2 linked regions of the Neodiprion lecontei genome follow. The protein of the gene in region 1 interacts with the protein of each later gene in a pairwise test. Links are inferred from orthologs where the notes say so. Each region holds a gene or a part of one and is shown on either strand. Other genes may lie near its edges.

Region 1 (7,743 bases):
GTTTGAAAGTTCACTCTACGCATTTGCATATCCATCTATTTGTGAATTTTTTGAGCATTTGAAAAATATTTATTCATTGCATCATCTCCAGTCTGTCACTTTGCTCGGTAACATTTTGCTTGGATAAATTTTTTTTCCAAGGATTCGAAAAATAAAGGAATAAAATTACAGGAACTTAGGTAAAGACCCCTGCGTATAAATCTAATTCCATAGGCCAGTTACAGCAAAGGAAAGGCACAGGCAAGATGCAGCCTAATTGTCATTCTCACCCTAAATTGCATTCGAAATTTGAATAAAGTCATTTGTACACTCAGCAGAATCTAATTTAGTTCCCCCGCTGCAGACTACTCGTCTCTCACTACGCAAAGCGGTCATAAATCAACCAGTTGCTCACCCGCTAGAACGCCACAGTCTAGCACGCCCCTACGATGTCGGCAAATGGGTTAATTTCATTCAATTGTGGTGTGGAAAAATCCATAAAGACCACCACCCGCGGTGAACTGCGACTCGTGGTAACATAGGTATACTACATTCTTTAGTTTCGATATACTGGAAAATACTGCGGCGTTAGCTATGTAGATGAATGATTTCACACATTAGTTATATTACATATATATATAACGTATGCCTTGACAGTTTTATGAAGAAACTTCAATCTGTTTCTAACAGGCTCATTCGTAGTTTAATTTCACAACACAATCAAATTCCCGTTTATAAGCTCATCGGTTCGCACAATTTTTATTTGCAAAGAAAATTTTTTATTTCGGAAGGTATCCGGGTGTCGAGAATATTTCTGAAATTCCTTCGATTTGACAGGCAAGTGAGTAATTTCCATTAATATGATTAACGAACGAGATGCAATTAAGAGCGGTTTATGAAGTGGTTGATTGATCTAAAACCATGTATAGGTTCACACAGACACTTATTGGAAGGTTTTAAGCATTGTAAATAATGATAACTTATATATTCTTCGTTAATATACATATCATACAGATATCATAAAAAATGTAATACAAATTGACGTATTACTGAAAAAATACGTTTGGAAAGGTAGACAGAGGAGAAGAGGCCTAATGGAAACGTAGAAGCAATAAATAAATAACTGAAAAAAACAGTCCAAGGCAGGTGAGACAGCTATTTCTAAAGATATAATGTATCGCTAAACACCCAACAGCCAGAATTTAAAACATCCAATCTCTTTCTCTCTATGTATGTATGAGCATGATATCGTGTAGCACAGAAATTTATTTAAACATCCATCGAACATGTAGACACCAGACAGCCATCTCACCCCCCGCCTGCACACTCTCAGAATTTCACGAGTGTCAAACTTGGTATTATCACTTCCCAATACGAGATTATTATAGGTATGTGTATGTCCTCACTCGGATGCTTCAATTTTATTATTTAACATTACAAACATATAATATATATTATATTATATAAACATATTACGCAGAGAGATCGACGAAATCGGCAATATAAATATATTATGTATATATCAATTTTTAAAAATACATATTTTATAACCTATAATGCGACACTGCTCTTAGACCCGTGCGTGCTACGCTGTGGAGCAGCCTTACAGACTCCGGGAAATTCTAGAAAATAGAATTTCCTTCAGTCATGCGCGAGTAGCGTGCTTTTAATCGAATTCCACCCAGCACCAGCGGCAACAATAGGAACGCACGCTTGAGTTTCCCGAGCGACCACCAAACGCGCATAGAGCTTCTGCATGCAGAGTCACAATATATCCGTCGGTACAGTCTAAAATTTCGCCCGTAGCATGCATACGTATCACTATGTCGTCTTGTTCAAAGGAAAGCCTGGTTCCATTTCTCATAAAAAATACGTAACAATGCCTTCGTATGGACGGTTTCAGATAGCACAAATCATATACCTCGGTATAAATATACACTCGAATACACACCAAGGCTGAATCACGCGCCTGCGTTTATGTATGTAAGCTTCACGCGCATGGCTGCCTTTGAATTCCAAAAAGTAATCATGATAATAATAACAATAATATAAGGTGTTTGGTTATAATGCCTCATTACCTCTCTGTTCAAGCCACAAAAATATATGCATCGAGTCACATCTGCATGCCTGTTTTATAGCGAAAACATGTTGCATTGATCGTTACGATTCTTGTGTTATAATTTATACCATACCATTCGCACCATTTTATTTACGAATAAAAAATAACTCCGTGCTTAAGCCAGCAAGTTCGCTCAATTTGAATGGGGTCAGCGTTATTCTTACATGTATTCGTTTTTAACGGACAATCAAATACTTTTTTTGAATTTTGGATAACGTTCCAAAGGAGCTTAAAATTGCCGCGACGCGACTGAAACTTGACATATTTACAGGTCAGAGACATCGACCAGCGTTGTCAGTCCTAAAAAAATTTCTTTAAAATCAAAGAAATTAGAGAATGTTCAAAAAAAAAAAAAGTAAAGTTGTTTTCTTGTTAAGAAATATTGTCATTTAGGCCGGAATCTGACGAAATCTCAAGATTGATGACGAAATCTCTAAATATGGCCGCTGAAATCGAAACAACAGACTACAAATCAACCAATCGTGAGGTTCCTGAAAAAACATGCGACAATTAGTAGCTTCTGCAATATTTAAGTATTAAAAATAAGAACACATTATATAAGTAAAGGTTGTTAATATCTTTATACTTGAAATTCCGATTGTAGGATATATTTCTAGGAAAAATGTCCATGTTATAATGCAAAAAAATTAAATATATTATATATTCCTATATTTATTCAGGTTCAATCCCGTCAAACATCACTGTTGAAAATGAGAAATATGAAGAATTATTGTGGCGCCATTGAGACATCTGAAAAATTATTGTGATGCCATCTAAATAAGAAATCTAAAGAATTGTTTTGGCGCCATTGAAAAAAGTAATTGTCTGATAGGTTGGTAACACTGATATCGACCACATCGATTCGCAGGTGAATTGCGGGCCGAGAAGCGTGAAGCGCAAGCGCCGCATCCGTCGCCACGGTACAGCGATACGCAAGGACTACGCTATGGCTGCGCCAACAAAAAAACGTGAGATCCAGCCGAGGAACGAGAATATTGGCCACAATGGGGAAGAACACAGTTCGTCGGATGATCAGAGTGATTCCGAAAATGAGGACGCATCGGAGGCTGAGCAGGTTAGCGAGATTGCACATTTTTTACTCGTTATTGAGCAAACGAAGTGATCTAACCTCCACGAAGCACGTGGTCGGTTGCCACATCACTTGTCAAGAATTTTCAATAAATGACGAAAAGTTGAAACAGGCGACGACTGGTCATCTGCTCTGTTCGAAATTTAGAATCTACTCAACCAACCGTTTACACTGATTCAATTAAATGATCATATTGCAGTTTACAGTTTGCTACTTTGTATAACTTGCGAGTTGCGCGCATCCCATTCTCTGCAACACATGTACGTATTGACGGTTGCCGGTACCCAGGCGCTCACGGTTGAATTTTATTTGTAATAAATGTGAACTCAGAATTTTCACTCGTTTTAAGACCTTTAATGCGAGTTTAAAAAATGAAAATGAACCATTCAATAATTATGTATTTGTAATAACTGTATAATTAAAATGGTCCTATGAAATTCATTTTACTGGAAAATGTCATTTTCAAAGTAGAATTGGCAATTTGAACGGTTTGAGACAAGTTTCACCCTTTGGCGATTACAATTTTTCAGAAAACAAATGAACTAACTGATAAAAAATTCGATCACATTCATACTTTTTTGCGCACTCCGGTATGTAGTGGATTATTTCCAACCAAACCTAGAGTTAAATCCTAATATAACTTCCAATGATATCTGTAAAACCCAGATTTCTTGGGATTGTCTGATAGGCATATTAAATAAATTAGCGATCAACAGCGATCACCTGGATCGAAAGCTATCATGTATTACTATGTAACAGACTATTATAGAATCTTGGTGATCGGTCAATTAAGTAAACGTATTTTTAGTTAACGTTTCGACCCGGATATGGGCCCTCCTCAGAACGATTTATTTATTTAACTGTCAAGAACAACAAAAAATTTTTTTTAAATAATAATACTAGAAGTACAATCAGACATTAAATATTGTAGATGTAATAGCCAAGACAATTAATTCATGGCTCACCACTAATATCACACCTCCCACCTCTAGTGTTAAAGATAGCTTTTCCTTAGTTGACACAATAAAAACATTGATTATCCCAGACAACAATACTTTAATATCGCTAGATGTAATATCACTTTTTACCAACGTTCCGATAGATCTTGCATTGCGCGTAGTAAACAACCGTTGGGCTTCTCTTGAAAATAAGATCCCAATTCCTCTTATTGAACTAGATAAAGCTTTAAAAATATGTTTTGATTCTGCAATATTCAAATTTAACAACGATACGTATGCACAACAATTCGGGTTGCCCATGGGATCTCCTCTCTCCCCAATCTTGTCAGACCTTGTCATGGAAGACTTGGAAACGTCTTGCATTAACAATCTTGATTTTGATTTACCGTTCTATTTTCGATATGTTGATGATATTCTTACTGCTGTTCCTAAAGAAAAAATAGATCACACTCTTAATACTTTTAACCGATATCATCCACGATTACAATTTACTATCGAAACAGAAGAAAATAACGCCATCAATTTCTTAGATGTATTGCTGATACACAACAACAGTAATATCAAAACAGATTGGTTCCACAAAAAAACCTGGTCTCAAAGATATCTGAATTTTAATTCTCACCACCCAATGTCCTACAAAATAGGCACCATCATTAACCTAGTTGACCGAGCCATCAAACTTTCTAGTACAGAGTTCCAGGAAAAAAACCTGTCGCTCATATACAATATACTAAGATGGAATGATTATCCTTATAATAATATTGACTCTGCTCCCGCAGACGATAACAATAGACCTGCTACTACATATATCCCCATCCCATATGTATCTGGTCTCTTTGAGTCACTGAACCGCCTATTTGCCAAACATAATGTCAAGTTTGTTGGAAAAAATTCAAAAGATTTACAATTAGTTTTTGATGCGGGAAAAGATAAGATCCCCATTGGCAAACGATCCAATGTTGTGTATAAAATACCTTGCAATGATTGCAACCAAGTTTATATAGGACAAACTGGCCGCCACCTTAACACCAGAATCAAAGAACATCAACGCAATGTACATGAGATTGAAGAACGTCACACGGCTCTAACAAAACATAGTATCAATAAACAACATACTTTTAACTACGACAATACAAACATCCTTTGTGAAGAACACAATCATTATAAAAGACTATTACTAGAAATGTGCAACATTGTAGGTCGCACCCATTCCGTTAATCTTAGACAAGATGTTGAACATTTAAGTAATATTTACAAACCTCTAATCTCCGCCCACACAAAAAATATTGTTTAACCTTAACTAGATACAAACAAATTTTTTTCACAAAATATTGTTTGTTTTTCTGTATAATTGTTTATATTAGGTTCACCTTCACTCTGGATCATATTTGTTTCTCCCATCAGTCGTTATTCACCTGTTGACCCAATCGGTTCAACCAACAATAATTTTTGGTTAGACATGTGGAACATAGTCATAAAGAGCCTACCTCCACTTCTTGGACACTTGCAAATTAATTTTACTGCTAAAAAGACTTTCTTTAAAAACCTTTTAACACAATGACATACTGACTGTGAAGAAACATAGTTCTTTAATCTTTTTAATTAATGACTTCCAACTATTAACTCCTACATGTAAAATAACTAAAAGATTGACATTGACTACCGTCACTCAAAGAACATTGTCTCCACTAATTGTAAATTGTGAATTCGACTACATCTTAGTCCACTTACTTATAAAAAAAGGTAAATAACACTTAAAGCCATTCTTTTTTCAATTAATCAAAATGTTCTTACTAACCAATAATATATGATAGCCCTAAGAGTATTACATCTACAATATTTAATGTCTGATTGTACTTCTAGTATTATTATTTAAAAAAAATTTTTTGTTGTTCTTGACAGTTAAATAAATAAATCGTTCTGAGGAGGGCCCATAACCGGGTCGAAACGTTAACTAAAAATACGTTTACTTAATTGACCGATCACCAAGATTCTATAATAGATTATATACGAGGTCGAGAATTCTTATTCATCACTATGTAACAGAGAGGCTTGCATCATTATGTACATTTTATAAGAATTGTATAGTAACGGAAGAATCGTGTTATTTTGTATTAATTTCCACCCCTACTTCGTCAACCATTAATGAATAGGTTACAGTTATTGTTTATCAATCAACAGTGTTGGAAATCAATGTATCTGCGATTAGAATTTCAGTATTCGATAAAGTTTGAATTTGAACTCTCTGTACAAGGAACGTACAGCTCTGTGCTATTAAATAAGGAAACATGTTTTTATGACTAGATGTAACATATTTGCCGTAATGAGTCTAAATGTACGATGGTTATCATATCATTATAAATTTGACCAAAAATCACGAAAAATATTCCACTTTTAGGGAATGGAAATCCAGGTAGATTTTGAGGGACGTAATCCGCAAGATCCTGACTTCAATGGCATTAAAATACTGCTGCAGCAATTATTCCTCAAAGCCCACCTCGACCTCAGCGGGCTCACAGACTTAATTATTTCTCAAAATTACGTGGGATCAGTCGTTAAGCAATCATCCAATGACACGGAGGATTCAGACGAGGACGAGAACGAGGACCCAAACAACGTTTTCGGAATCACTACAGTCGTCAACATATCCGACAGACAGGTAGATGTATGACTGGATTATATTTCTTCACGCATTCAAATATAATTAACTTTTCAGCCTCGACAGACTTAAATCTATTGACATAATAACTATTCCCTGAATTACGTGTACAGCATATTGTTTTCTTTGCTACGCACGTGAAGGAAGAAAAAAAATCAAATCATAGGAAATTGAAAAAATTATAATTTGTGAAAGCTCACAAGAATTCTAAAACAAAAAATGATTTTCTAAATGATCTGTGCAGATTCTGTATGGGCAGATATAGATTAATTTTGAAATTGTTTTCAGAACCAGCCATGCGTGAAACAATTGAGAGATTTACTAAAGCAGCTTGCAGAAGAGCATGCAACCGACGCTACCAACGCCCTGATTAGAAATGTACTGGAAAACGACGCAGCACCATTGGGTCTGTTGATCAATGAAAGATTCATCAATATTCCCGCACAGATATCAGTGCCGCTGTTTGAAAATTTGGTTTCGGAAATTGATAGGGCAGCAAAAAAGAAAATGCCATTCAAATTTTCCTACTTCATACTAATATGTAAGGTGTACGAAATCCAGAATCCTAAAAAGGATCCACAAACGAAGAACAAGAATAACGCACCTCATGTTGACATACTCTGGAGTAATCGTGAGGAGGAGATATTCGCCGAAGAAGCAGACTGCAGCTTTGAATTTTCCGTTGAAAATGAATCCGATAGTGGATTAGAAGGGACCTGGACTGAAAGTGATAACGAAATGAAGCCATATCGAAAAGTTTTACTTTTTGAATCTTCAAAACTCCAGAGTATCATTGACAAAATCAAACTTCACGTTGCGGGAGCTAGTAGTTAAGACTGGACCGAAAGTTTTTAACTCTAATGGACGAAAAGTACTCCTTAACGAGCCTTCTGGCTGCAATTCGTATTCGAGACATGGAAAAAACGTTTGCTTGGAA
Region 2 (3,619 bases), on another chromosome or scaffold:
GAGAATTTACCACAAAGCTTTTTTTAACTATGAGACAGAAGTGGGCAACTCCTGGCGTTCCCAGTGCGATCCCATTTTTTAGTGTAGTTCGCGATTTCGGCGATTCTACAATTGTTTTTGTTGGGATCGAACCGATCACGCAGGTGGTTCTCGTCATTCGACTGTTCCCCCGTAATAGAGTCGTTGTCAGGATAAAGTGCGCCAATTGCCCACTCCTGCTATAGGGGAAGTTTACGATAGATCAACACTAAGTGTAATTCTGAATTCATGCCAATGATGTATTTTCAAAAAATACTTACTTGTACGGCAGTTCAAGATCTTGAGTAAGGATGGTGAAATACTAGATCTCATGAATTTTAATGGAAAAATCTTGCAATGTAGTCATGTTCTAACGACAAACTTGTTTTCAGAAAAATAGACTAAATCTTAATCTAAACAGAATGCACCTGATAGCATGACAATCATTTTACTATTCGTGACATTATACAAACGTATTAAACAGTAAATAAGTAAAGTACCGATGACGAGTCCAAATTGGTATTTATTGAGTCAACGGTATACAAGGTGTTATTTTAGGCGATGCTGCTGGCATTGGAGGCGATTCTTGGCCACAAATCGGCGCACTCTTTAGCTACTGGGCCAGTGATGGCTGAGCCTTTCATTTCACCTTTATTATTCACAATAACACCTGCGTTGTCTTCGAAGTATATGAATACCCCATCCTTCCTCCGGAAAGGCTTACGCTGGCGGATCACCACGGCAAGCATAACTGCAATAAAAAAAAATTATTTTTTACTCCATCATAAAGTCAAATTTTCACGCAAATCTTTTAAGCCAATAGTATCCATGTATACAAAGACACAGCACGACTAAACGTAAATGAAAAGTGTTCACCTAACCTAAAACAGACACTTGTAGAACTTGGAACATGCGTTGAATTGGGCAACAGCATGGCTTTGCAGTCGACTTTCATGATAACGAAAACAACTGAACATTGTCAGATGAACATATTAAGCCAGTATCGAGTTAAACGAACCTTTCTTTCTGAGTTCGGGCTTTCCCTTCTTAACAGTGGCAACAATCATGTCACCGGACCCTGCAGCAGGCAGTCTGTTGAGACGTCCCTTCACTCCTTGTACTGCGATTACATACAAATTCTTGGCCCCTTAAAAAGATATATCGATTAGATTAAACAAGAGACACAACAGATAGTGGCATGAGCGCAGCAAATTTTAATATGTGCATCTCATCGTGTACGCGCAGAGATCAATGTGAATGGTGAATCACGAACAGGATGAACTGCGTATAATTTCATCAAGTACGAACATATCGGAAAAAGAAGAATGTGAAGAATGAAGAATGATGATATGGACGAATGGTTGGAATAAGGACGTGGACACGCATAGTATTGACTTACGATTTGGACTAACTCACCCGTGTTGTCAGCACAATTGATAACTGCGCCAACAGGTAGACCCAGAGATATCCTGAATTTAGCTCCAGCGGAACCACCACGTCCTTAAACAGAAATATTAAAGTTGATAAACATCCATGAGGATCGCGTGGTCTCCGTTTGTTAGGTTATTCCCGTGTTCCGGAGCAAGACGTACGTCGCGTCGTATCGTGTTGTCGACAGGCGGCAAGTATTTATCACGCATCTTATTTCATCGTAAGGCACAAATAACGTTAAGTATACGTTTCGCATGACGCACACGTATCTTCCACGTTCGCTAAACACTCAAACGCGGTACGTCTCGCTCGGAAACGGCCGATTATTGCGGATTTATTTCGGCCCAAACTCGGGCTCACCTCGTTTCGACATCTTGCTTCGTTTGAAAGAGGAAGTCTGGGGCGCTCGATCTGTACTGCAGACCCCTGATCCAACTCTTGACGCGCATCATTTACACGCAGCTGAATACCAGCTGGTCAAAATTCGTACAAACGCGATGTCCCCAACACTCGTGGATCAGAAGATTGTGGATACATAAGGGGCTGAAAAATCATTGAGGTTTATTCTATCACCTTTACTTGATAATTAGAGGACTGGGTTAAGCTTATTGAAAATTTTCGTGGAATGATTCTCGAGTACTTAATTTGATCCGCAGCGGTCGTTCTGACATATCTAATTTTTGAAATAGCGCTGTGATCGATTAGTGTGCGGTGTGCGTATATAAATTTTCTCTAAATCGACTGTTTTCAGAATAAATCCTCAATTCGCAACAATTCATAAAGATGTTTTCAAAAGTTTACGAAACACTGGTTAGGAAAACAAAGGACCCTCTGCTCGGGGAGCATGTTATACAGACATTTGTCTCCGCCGTGGATTGCGAAGAGGTTATCGAACGTCAGCTTGGTCCTATCCCGACTTTTCGATTACAGAACATATTTTTCATTATAGCAGGATGACTCTCTAGCATCGACGCAGGGGTGCATGGCTATCTGCGGTGAAAAATATCTGGATATTCACGGTAATTTTAGTAAACAAACTGCATTATCACCTTCCGGTAGAACTTCAAAAATGCCCACATCTAACGAATACTTCGACCGCTCGATTCAGTAACTCGATAGCTCGACCTGCCGCAGACTCACGTCTCTTCTGCAGTTTGAAGCCCGCTTTTACTTAGTTGACTAAATTAATAAACGGAGTAAGTTCATCGCCGTCAAAATAATTGTCATAATGCCAGACGTTCTACTCTCAGATACGATAGCGATGGAGTTAGGAGGTAAATTTCAGACACTAATCGTAACCTCTTGAGATCTTACGCGTGCTTCGACTCTACCCTAACCTAACCTAACTTGACTCAGGTTATCTTTCAGAACAACGTTGCCACTTTATCGTGGCAGAATCTGTATTTAACACGACGAACCTTAACTCTTGTAAAATATGACGTATATGTAATCAAACCTAGTCAAACTTTACTCAAATCCAGTATATCAATTCCCCGTTGCAACCTAACCTAGCCTTGGTAACAGAAACTGACCTAACCGTAACCTAACATAACCTTATGTAATCCTGTTTGAACCCCTCAGAAATTATCTATGAATTTTGCTCTCCGACTATTTACTCTTAGCTCAAGAGCCTTGGCCGCAGCCGATAAAATTGTATCAGCCATATGAGGTCGAGCAAATTCTGCTCCCTGACAATGCAAACTGCCTGGCGGTCCAAGCGTACTTAAAAATGTGCGGTCTGGAGTTCCAAATTGAACCGAGAAGCAATGCGGAGTACATGTCTCCCTCAGGAAGAGTCCCTTTTATTCAATGTGGGGCTTTCCTTGTATCGGAGTTCGACCCGATCGTGTCTTTCATCAGCAGCAAGGGTTCTAGTCTTTCTGGAGAGCTTGGGGCAACTGATAAGGCTGACATGCGAGCCTACATATCGCTTGTTAATAATGTGCTAGTTAATGCTGAACAGTATGTTTGCTGGGTAGATCAGGCCACCTTGATTTCAGTCACCAAGCCCAGGCACGGCAGTGTCTATCCTTGGCCTCTCAATCATCTTCTTAACTGGCAAAAGCAAAATCAGATTACAAAGAAACTGAATGTCTTGGGCTGGTACAATAAAAGTCTTGACGAGGTATTCGGTGAGGTCAAAAACTGCTGCACAGCACTTGCCGAAAGG

What was found. The genes of interacting proteins can lie anywhere in the genome.
Region 2: the proteins of protein BCCIP homolog (region 1) and 60S ribosomal protein L23 interact in binary tests that used the Homo sapiens proteins (3 or more experiments, as listed by UniProt). The link is inferred for Neodiprion lecontei from reciprocal best matches to the Homo sapiens genes BCCIP and RPL23.

The regions. Positions count from the first base shown.
Region 1 is NC_060260.1:13,309,019-13,316,761, forward strand, and holds the start of protein BCCIP homolog, read left to right. Parts: upstream 1-1,715; 5' UTR 1,716-1,760; intron 1,761-2,966; 5' UTR 2,967-3,044; coding exon 3,045-3,173; intron 3,174-6,545; coding exon 6,546-6,812; intron 6,813-7,094; coding exon 7,095-7,640; 3' UTR 7,641-7,743. UniProt on the Homo sapiens protein: During interphase, required for microtubule organizing and anchoring activities. During mitosis, required for the organization and stabilization of the spindle pole.
Region 2 is NC_060264.1:31,957,536-31,961,154, reverse strand, and holds 60S ribosomal protein L23, read right to left. Parts: upstream 1,899-3,619; 5' UTR 1,823-1,898; coding exon 1,810-1,822; intron 1,519-1,809; coding exon 1,435-1,518; intron 1,166-1,434; coding exon 1,037-1,165; intron 770-1,036; coding exon 573-769; 3' UTR 522-572; downstream 1-521. Other genes in the region: metaxin-2, read left to right, coding at 2,678-2,723, 3,072-3,619.